Caenorhabditis elegans: one gene and its partner. The protein of the gene in region 1 purifies or fractionates together with the protein of each later gene. This does not show direct contact. Each region holds a gene or a part of one and is shown in the gene's direction. Other genes may lie near its edges.

Evidence for each region.
Region 2: the proteins of K03B8.6 (region 1) and F49H6.5 fractionate together in Caenorhabditis elegans (co-fractionation; one large-scale study listed by BioGRID). This does not show direct contact.

The regions. Positions count from the first base shown.
Region 1 is NC_003283.11:11,405,890-11,410,180, forward strand, and holds K03B8.6 (uncharacterized protein), read left to right. Parts: upstream 1-1,694; 5' UTR 1,695-1,695; coding exon 1,696-1,818; intron 1,819-2,005; coding exon 2,006-2,638; intron 2,639-2,693; coding exon 2,694-2,852; intron 2,853-3,155; coding exon 3,156-3,236; 3' UTR 3,237-3,654; downstream 3,655-4,291. Other genes in the region: K03B8.8 (Conserved secreted protein), read right to left, coding at 3,658-3,838.
Region 2 is NC_003283.11:17,021,164-17,026,237, forward strand, and holds F49H6.5 (GTP 3',8-cyclase), read left to right. Parts: upstream 1-2,077; 5' UTR 2,078-2,311; coding exon 2,312-2,476; intron 2,477-2,569; coding exon 2,570-2,834; intron 2,835-2,892; coding exon 2,893-2,996; intron 2,997-3,231; coding exon 3,232-3,351; intron 3,352-3,405; coding exon 3,406-3,744; intron 3,745-3,959; coding exon 3,960-4,080; intron 4,081-4,128; coding exon 4,129-4,184; 3' UTR 4,185-4,364; downstream 4,365-5,074. Other genes in the region: F49H6.12 (MS Related Protein), read right to left, coding at 169-298; F49H6.8 (MS Related Protein), read right to left, coding at 1,207-1,500; F49H6.15 (uncharacterized protein), read right to left, coding at 4,975-5,074.

The DNA.
Region 1 (4,291 bases):
ATCACCATATCTCTTTTTGTGTGTGTGTATTGATGCCGACTTTCCTTCAAAAAAGTCAAAAGACATGTTGTCGGAGAGTTACAAAAGAGCAACTCGTCATTCCTGATGAGCACACTTCACGCGCCGAGCCAAGCTTTTCAGTCAGTGTTCAGCCGACTTGCCCCACGACCGATGCATGAGCCACTCTGTTCTTCGGAAAACAAAAGTGTCATGGTTGAACAAGGAGCCGCACACTTATTGTACAAGGCATAATTTGAACAAATAATTTCATGTGGCGGGTGGCGACTGTCTCAGCGGCGAGGAAGACCTCCCGGCTCTTTTGTATCGCAAACACGTTCAAATCAGAAAGAAAAGTTGAAGAGCAACGGGAAAGAAAGAGATATGTATGGAGTTGAAATGAGAGTAATGGGGAAAAATATCAATGTTATTCTCTATTCAAACTTTCATAGACTGTGGTGTTTGATCCTTTAGAGTTCTTCTTTTTGAAATTTCATATTCATTCAGATGAACGTATACAAAAATTATGGAAAAAGTCGTAAAAAAGTTTTTAGAATTATCTAAAACACAGAAAATATATTCAAAATATCACTTGAACATCGTTTTCGTAAAAACCATGTACAATAAACATAAAAAGCACTTCGCATGAAAATTTAATTTTTTGACCCTTTTTACTATTTCAAGTCAAGTCTAGACATTTGCAAGATGTCATACCCAACATTTTCTCGTAAGAAATCATTTCTTCAACCTACTTGACTTGGTAATTCAACCGTTTTTCACACATTTACCATCCTCATCTCTTCTATTCTTGTCCTTTTCTTTCGTTTTCTTTGCGCACGTATCGTAATCTCGTGTTATGCAAAATAGGGGTACTTGTTAATGCAGACGTTGTGGTTTCATACCTCTCTTGATCTTCTCATATTTCTCATATTTTGCAAATTGCCGTCGGCTATATTACTTTGATGTCCCAGACGATATCTCATGATTTTGTTTAGAAAAATCTATTTTTGATCGTAAATTTGTAAAAATAAAATGGTAGCCGATGGTAGATAATGGAAAAATGTTTACGTTGCTTGCTTTTTAACAACGGGGATATTGAAGGTTAGGAGTGAGAAATGTGTCATCAAGGATTCTTTTTGTAACTTTACTCTAGACTGTTGGAAGGGCAGAGGTTTTAAGAAAAAGAATATGACAAATAGAACTTGAAACGTAGGATGTGAAACATCTGATCGTAATAGTCCGAAATTCACAACTCAGCGGGTTCAGTTTCATATAAGATAAAATACAATATTGATTTTAAGGGCATCTTCTTCTTTTTTCCTAACTGTATCAAATTTTTATCAAACCTATTTGCTCAAATATTCTTCCTTTTCATGTTTGAAAGTTTTAAAAGTTTTCCGTTCGACCTCACTTTTTTCCTCCTTTTCTGTCCTTTGAAACTATCTTGCTCGTTCTCGCCTTTTCTCAATTTAAAAAATGCTCATCTGCCACATACCTCTTCTATGTTCTCTGTCTCTTCATCTCAAACATTGTCTCTACTTGACACTTTGCCTGACACCATCTCAATGTGTGTTGGCCGTGTGTATGAAAGAGGCGTGGTTTGAGTCTGTCTGGAGGAAACCATGTTGTCTTTTTCATTTTTCCGTGCCCTCTCTTCATTGTAAAATATTTATGAAGAAACATTATTTTAACTTCAGAATGAGGAAGCCACTGGTGGTATTGCTGTTGATACTGGTGACAACGGTGGAGAGTCGATTCGTGGACAAAATGGTCAATTCAGAAATTGGAGACACCTATTACAAACACGAATCGGATCCAATAGTAAGCTCTTTTCAAAAAATTTGCTTCAATGAGTGAAAACTAGTAATCTGAAGAAGAAATACATTGTCCGAAATTTAGAAGTGAACTAGCGAAGTCTCTGTTTTTTTTTATTTTATTTTATTGTTGCAGCCTTCTTATAGAAGGAATTTTCTAATTTTAAACAAATGTTATATTACTTATTTTCTAGATGATCGACGACAAAGATGACGCACCTCAATACGAAGTAAATTCGGAAGAAGTTCCAACTTTGCCACGTATGAATAGTCAGACCAAATGGGAAATGATTCGTGCCAGTGGACAAGATCCAACAGTCCGTCGTAGAAAAAACAAGCAGCATCGTCAGCAGAAAGTCGTCCTTGGACGTGAACGTCGTGACTTGATCCTTGCTCCATGGAGAATCACTCATGTTGTTCCGAAAAAGAAAGAAGCTGAAGTTCCAAAGAAAGCAATGGCTCTGTCATTTGATGTCTGTCCTGAAAAATTCGATGCAATTACAAAGGGAATCAATGGAAGAACCTATGTTTTTGCTCGCGAAAGGGTTTATCAAATTTGGTTTGAAGACGGACTTCCACAAAAAGCGTCTTACTTGATCAGTGAATTCTTTGCTGGAGGACCGAGAACTGTGACCGCCGCATTGACAAATTCTCGATCTGGAGTCACAATTCTCTTTGATGGACGAACTGCATACAGATTCCGTTGGAACAGAAAACATCGTAGATTCCAGCTGGCGAAAAATACCCCACAAGATCTTCCCCGAAACATCACAATCCATCCATTGTCAGCATTTGAATGGGCCGATGGAAATCAAGTTGTTCTCAGTGTGAGTTGATATCAATCTTAAGAAAACCTTCTTGTCATGGTTGAAATGATTTCAGGGTGAACACTTCATCATCTACGACGCATACTGGAACTTAGCCACATTCACAGGCCACACACGCAAGTATTTCCCAAATCTGCCAAGGGATCTACTGGGAATCGTGTACAACGGAGCTGGAGAAACACTTTTGATGTACACCAAGACAAACAAGTTAAAGGTATTCTTTCCGCAATATTAAAATCTTCGGCAGTCGGCCACTTTTTTCCGCTGGCGATATTCTCAATTAAACAGTACTTATATTTACGAAAATCGGCAGCCCCGTCAATTTCCGATAAGTTTAAATTTTCAGAGAACGCCAATTGCCGAAATTATCGGGAAAATTTATATCTTGAGTTCAGCATACGTATCAGCTTTTAGAGCATTCATAACTCTCTCGATAGCGACTCTATAGTAACAATTTTCAATAGGATTCCAACTTTGCTGTTGAAATATAAATCGATCTTTTATGTTAATTTTTCAGGTTTACAACACGAAGAAGTTCAAAGTAGTACAAGAATATCCGCTGAAACTGTCTGAATTTGTCGGATGTCAAACTAGATGATCTGCTCAATCTGTCTTCATGCCTTTCTATCAAATCTCTCCCATTTCCGATGATCTGATCCTTTCATTCGTTTCCTTCTCAATCTTAAGATCGATCGATTTTGCTTTTTTGCTTTATTTGTTTTTTTTTCTAATTTTGTTTCTTTGCTTACTCACTTTTTATGCCCAATTCAGTTCTGAGCCGGTGTCTTCGAATCAGAATTTCAACTTCCTGTTTCTAACCCAATTAAATCCTAACTCACATTTTAAGTTTTCTACTTATTCCCAACACCCACAGTCTTAAGTTATTTTCCCTTCCTTCACCGCCTTTTCTTAAAAACGTTTTACGTGTATTTTTGTTTTATCTTTTCATGACTTTTTATATTTCAAGTTGTCATTTTCTTCATTTTGCAACAAAAAATAAATCAAATCTTCGCAATAGTTCAGCGTCGTCGACGTCCTAACACAAATTCCATGACATTATCCAGAATGTTATCAGTCATACTTCCAACTCGTCCCATCAGACTATACGACGGCGGAGGATACATCATTGGTGGATAAGGAGGAGGTGGGTACTGGTAATTTGGCAGTGGATCAAATCCTATTGGCCGTTGATTAATTGGTCTGAAATATACTATTATTTCTCAATAACTGTGTCTGCATTACTTTATTAAAAGTGGAATGTAAACTGACAGTTTTCAACTTTTTATTAAAAACTCTGCAAAATAAGCAAAGGTGACTGAAAGGGGCCAAATTTCCATACCATGCACATATGGATTTACTCGGAAATCATTTGTTTTGTGTTTTTTCCTTAAGCGTGATTACATTTTTTCCTTAAGCGTGATTACATGTTTTTTTTCACGGAAAGAACACTTTCGACATAATTTGTCTAAATACATTCATATGCTGTAGAAATTCGGCTCAATCTACTTGTTTACGTAAATATTATAGCAAACGTGCGTTGCGTCCTAGTGGAATGTCTGAAAGCAGAGTTTACTTTGAACACATGAGTTTTAAATTAAAATTATTTGATAAAATCACAAACCTTTTTTTCAGTTCAAGAACTTTGCAAAACCA
Region 2 (5,074 bases), 5.6 Mb from region 1:
GTGGGTGAGTAGTACTTAAAGCTCATATCATAATTTTCAGCGCGGCGCAAAAACTTCAAAACCGCCGCCATTCAAGTTCTGTGCGTCTGCATGTATGCGTTTCTCTTATTGTCTTTGGGAAAACAAATATTATAGAGACGGCAGAGTATTCTCTTGAATGGTGCTTACATTGGCTTGCACCAACGGCAGATCCTCCTGTTCGGAATGCAACCACACTTCCTGCCGGTTGAGCAGTAGCTTCACGATTGGCCACAACGACAAGAAGACAGGCAAAGAGAACTCCTCGCTGAGAATTCATTGTTGCACTTTTGCACAATGATGAAAATATTCAAAAAGGTCCGTATTTAAGGTAAGTTTCATTACCTTTCTCAACTACCTTTGAACTTTTCAAAGTTCATATTTACGTTAAATAGTAAGCTTTTAATTGTCAGATCTTTTCAGGAACCGATGTTATTAATGAAAAGTGATACAAAAGTTATGATACTTGACACCTTTGACGCAGCGTGGCCAAGATGCAGATCAACAAGACTCCTAGAGCTTGTAGTTAGCCTTAAAGCAGCTGAAATTGTCCACACCTGTCAGCATGAAATTTGTCCACACCTGTCAGAAATAACTAAAACTCGGTGTTTGACCATGGTTTGCATTTTCAGGCCAAACTTCACGAACAAAGTTCTGAAAAATCAGTAGGAGGTTTTGCATACAAAACTAAATATTCAAGACATTTGGTCAATAAGACAAGTAAACATATTTGCTTGTTAGGACATCCTCAGAATGTGTTTCAATACTGCTCACTTCTGGAGGACTATAGAAGAACAAAACACTTTCAACACGATGATACAGTAACGCTGATGATTAAATAATGTATTTATTGGATTCACAAAACATTCAAACTGCCAATGTTAAAAATAACTGTTCATAGTAGGGCTCCCATGAGGTCGCCGCAAAGGCGCCTTCGCCGGCCTCAGCGGTCGCCGCGCCGGCCTCACGGCGTCACCCACGCCGCATGTATAGTGAGACACTACGTTGCACACACACCAAGCTACTCATTTCACACTAAGCTGCGGAACCCCGAACGTGTCGGCCGCTTCAAATAACTACCTCTCGCACTGCATTTCACACACACAGCGGCGTGCGGCGTCGGCGCGAGGCCGGCCGGCGTGAGGCCGGCGTGAGGCCCGCATTCCGCGCCTCACTTAGCTGGGAGCCCTAGTTCATAGTAACTGCCACAATGGTGAGGAGAACAACTGGACCGGTGGCTGAGTTGGGCTGGGCTGGCTTGGTTGAGTTGGCTGCTGGCTCCGCTGTTGTGACGATTTTTGGGGCCTCCGTAGTTGCGATGTTGACGGAAGGGTTTTCACATTTGTCTGACGGAGGGTCTATGCGAGCTCCCGTGACATCTCCTGTTACTCCTACTGGCGGTCTTGCATGTTGAGCAGTAGCTCCACGATTGGTCACAACGACGAGAAGACAGGCAAAAAGAATTCCTCGCTGAGGATTCATTATTACAAGTCTGCACTTTGTTGGTGAGAACCAAAAAGTTTGCTATTTAAGGGTATTTGATCATCTTTCTCAACGACCTTTGAACTTTTCAAAGTTCATACTCACGATAATTTTTGTAAAAATTCAATTTTTCAATGAACTTTGATGAGCTTTTTTGCTGATAGAATATATTTGGAATTTTGGAAGTTGCGATTTCCTAATTTTTCACCTATTGAATAAGTTAGACAACATGTTGAAAAGTTGCTTTTAACTTATTGCAAGCTAACTTTAACATTGATTTATTAAAAAAATTTCGGAATTCAAAATCCAAAATCGTATTTTTGGAATAACGACGGCAAACATTTACAACAACACTGGCAACTACCCGCACAAACTTCCGATGTTGGGAACTTTTACTATTGCTCGTTGCCATAAAGTGAAGAATGTCAGTTGAAAGTCAATTTGACTGCCCTCATGACTAGTTATCAGTGCTTTAAAAAATTTCCATCAGGAGTGTGCCAAGACTCAATTTATATTTTATTGAACAGACGTTATCATTATTCGTCATAGGACTTAGTTGAACAACTTTTATTGTTAGGAATAATATTGCTCACACTTAATTCATTCAAAAAATATATAAAAAGTTTCCAGCAGTGGCGCTAACTCAGTTTTCCACTACTTTTTGACTCGAACTAAAAAATTCCAAAATGTTTTGAAACGTTTTATAGTTACACTTTAATTTTATTATATTTTTGAATATATCATCAGTAAATTCCCAATTTTTTTAAAATCAAGTGGCCGGCACTGAAGTATTTTGATATAAATATTACAGATGTGTCTTCAAGCCGGAAAAAAATTATTTCAGTGGTCAAGGACAAAGTCATCAGCGGGAGAAATTGTGAAACAACTAACCGTTCCATTACGAGAACATGCAGAGCCAATCGTTTTGCTGACGCCAGAACAGAAAAGAGAAGCAGTTAAAGTGAAAATTCAAGAGGTATTCTAGAAGATAATTGTCACAATGAGCTTTAGAAATCAGTAACATAAAAAAATTCGGAGTGTTCAAGGGTCGTTAATTTTACAATTTCAGATCGAACGGGCAAAAGGACAACTACCATTTTTTGACATGTTTATGAGAGAGCACACTTATTTGAGGATATCTCTAACGGAAAAATGCAATTTCCGTTGCCTTTATTGCATGCCAGCCGAAGGTATTCCACTCAAGCCCAAAGATAAAATGCTCTCAAACAGTGAAGTACTAAGGCTTGTAAAGTTATTCGCTGCACATGGTGTTGACAAGGTCAGACTGACAGGCGGTGAACCTACTATTCGGAATGATCTTGTGCAGATTGTTGGTGAGTTCATTGTGAACGTATAACTACAATGATGAAACATAACACGTTGAATTTTCAGAAGGGATCTCCTCTACTCCAGGAATCAAAGAAGTTGGTATTACAACAAATGGTCTTGTTTTGCCGAGGTTTTTACCCAAGTTGAAGGATGCCGGATTGACAAAGGTGAACACATTTTTCAAATATATGTAACTGTAAAAATATAAGGTCGCTCTTGTGAATCGTTGCCGGAGACATTTCAATAAATAATTCTAGCTGTTGATTCCTATTTCATATCTACCTGAAAATTTCATCGATTCAGATCAAACTATGATCATAGTTAATAATGTATTTTTTCAAAAAGCTTCTGGTTCTTACATTTCAACCAAAACTAATTTTTTTTAAAGTTGCCTCGATTTAGATAAACATCAGCATTGATTCGCTTGATCGTGAAAAATTTGCTAAGATGACAAGACGGGATGGATTTGACAAAGTTTGGAAGGCAATTGAACTAGCGAGAGGTTATTTTCCAAAAGTTAAAGTGAGTTTCAATTTCTGATCATTCTCGATTAAAAAAAAACTATAATTTTTTCAGCTGAACGTTGTTGTTCTTAAACACCAAAATGAGAACGAAATTGTTGATTTTGTGAATCTAACTAAAGGTCGTAACCTTGACATCCGATTCATAGAGTTCATGCCTTTTGGCGGTAACGAGTTCAAAAATGACAGTTTCATGAGCTATCGAGAAATGCTGAACTTAATTGTTGATAAATATGGGGATGCCGTCATACGGTTATCCGACTTACCTAATGACACAACTAAAGCTTATAAGATTGACGGATTCCAAGGACAATTTGGGTTTATCACCTCGATGTCAGATCACTTTTGTAACACTTGCAATAGGCTAAGAATAACTGCTGATGGAAATTTGAAAGTGAGTTGTTGACAAATGTAAAGAGTATTTTTGAGATGTGAAACTGGTGTAATTAGGTGAAACTGGTGTAATCATATTTATAAAAAATTTAAAATAATATATAAATTAAAAGAGTTTGGACATTGTAGACTTTTAAACGTACAAAAAGACATTCTAAATTTATCAAAAATTTTGAATGCTTCAAAACATTTTTTCAAAACATTGATTAATTTAAGGTATGCCTCCATGGAAATTCCGAAGTAAGTCTACGTGATAGAATTCGTTGTGGTGACTCTGACGCAAAGCTTTCCGAGGTCATTCAAACAGCCGTGGACAACAAAAAAGCTAGACATGCCGGTAAATAACCCATCAGACAAGTTGGATTCAAAAAAATTCACTTTTTAGGAATGGACGCTCTGAAAAACTTGCCAAATCGTCCAATGATTCTTATCGGCGGCTAACTCAAGGTATTAACTTTTTTTTCGGATTTTTTAAAGCTTAATTCTCATTTTAGTCGCATCACCATCTTCAATACATGTTCACTTTAGTGGTTATGCAGATATTTGGCGGGAAATTTCTTCGGTCACCTTAAAATTGATATTATTATGTTTTGTTCAAATCTAAAGTAAATAAATGTTTTTTTTACGGTCAAGTCTCAAACATTATAAAGATTGTTCTAAACTTGACTAAAATGAAATAATGACAAGATAATGTTTTTAAAATATCATTTACTTTATATACAGGGTGACAATTAATTATGGGAACTCGTAAAAACGCCATAAAAACGTTGAAACTTGAGATAATGCTACAAAAAATGTTACTGTTGAATAAGAAAATATTTCTAATTATGAATTCTTAAAAAAAATAAGTTTGTGCTAATCTCTTCTCCAGCGACGACAAGCCTCCGAAATCTTAGTAGATTGATTGCACAGAGCCGCAAGCTTTTGGTACATAACAGTTCTAGAACCTTCTGGAAAATTCGAAAAAATTCCTGACAAACAAAGTTCTGAAAAAACGGTCTGAGGTTTCGCGTACAATGCAAGCTATTCAAGAATGACATTTGGTCAATAAGACAAGTGAACATATTTGCTTGTTAGGACATCCTCAAAATCTGCTTCAATACTGCTCACTCCTGGAGGACAATGTGAAGACGACAAGACTTTCAACACCGTGATAACAAAAACTCGTGATTAAATAATGTATTTATTGGATTCACAAAACGTTCAAACCGCCAATGTTAACAATAACTGTTCATAGTAACTGCCACAATGGTGAGGAGAACAACTGGACCGGTGGCTGAGTTGGGTTGGGCTGCCTTGGTTGAGTTGGCTGCTGCCTCCGCTGTTGTGAC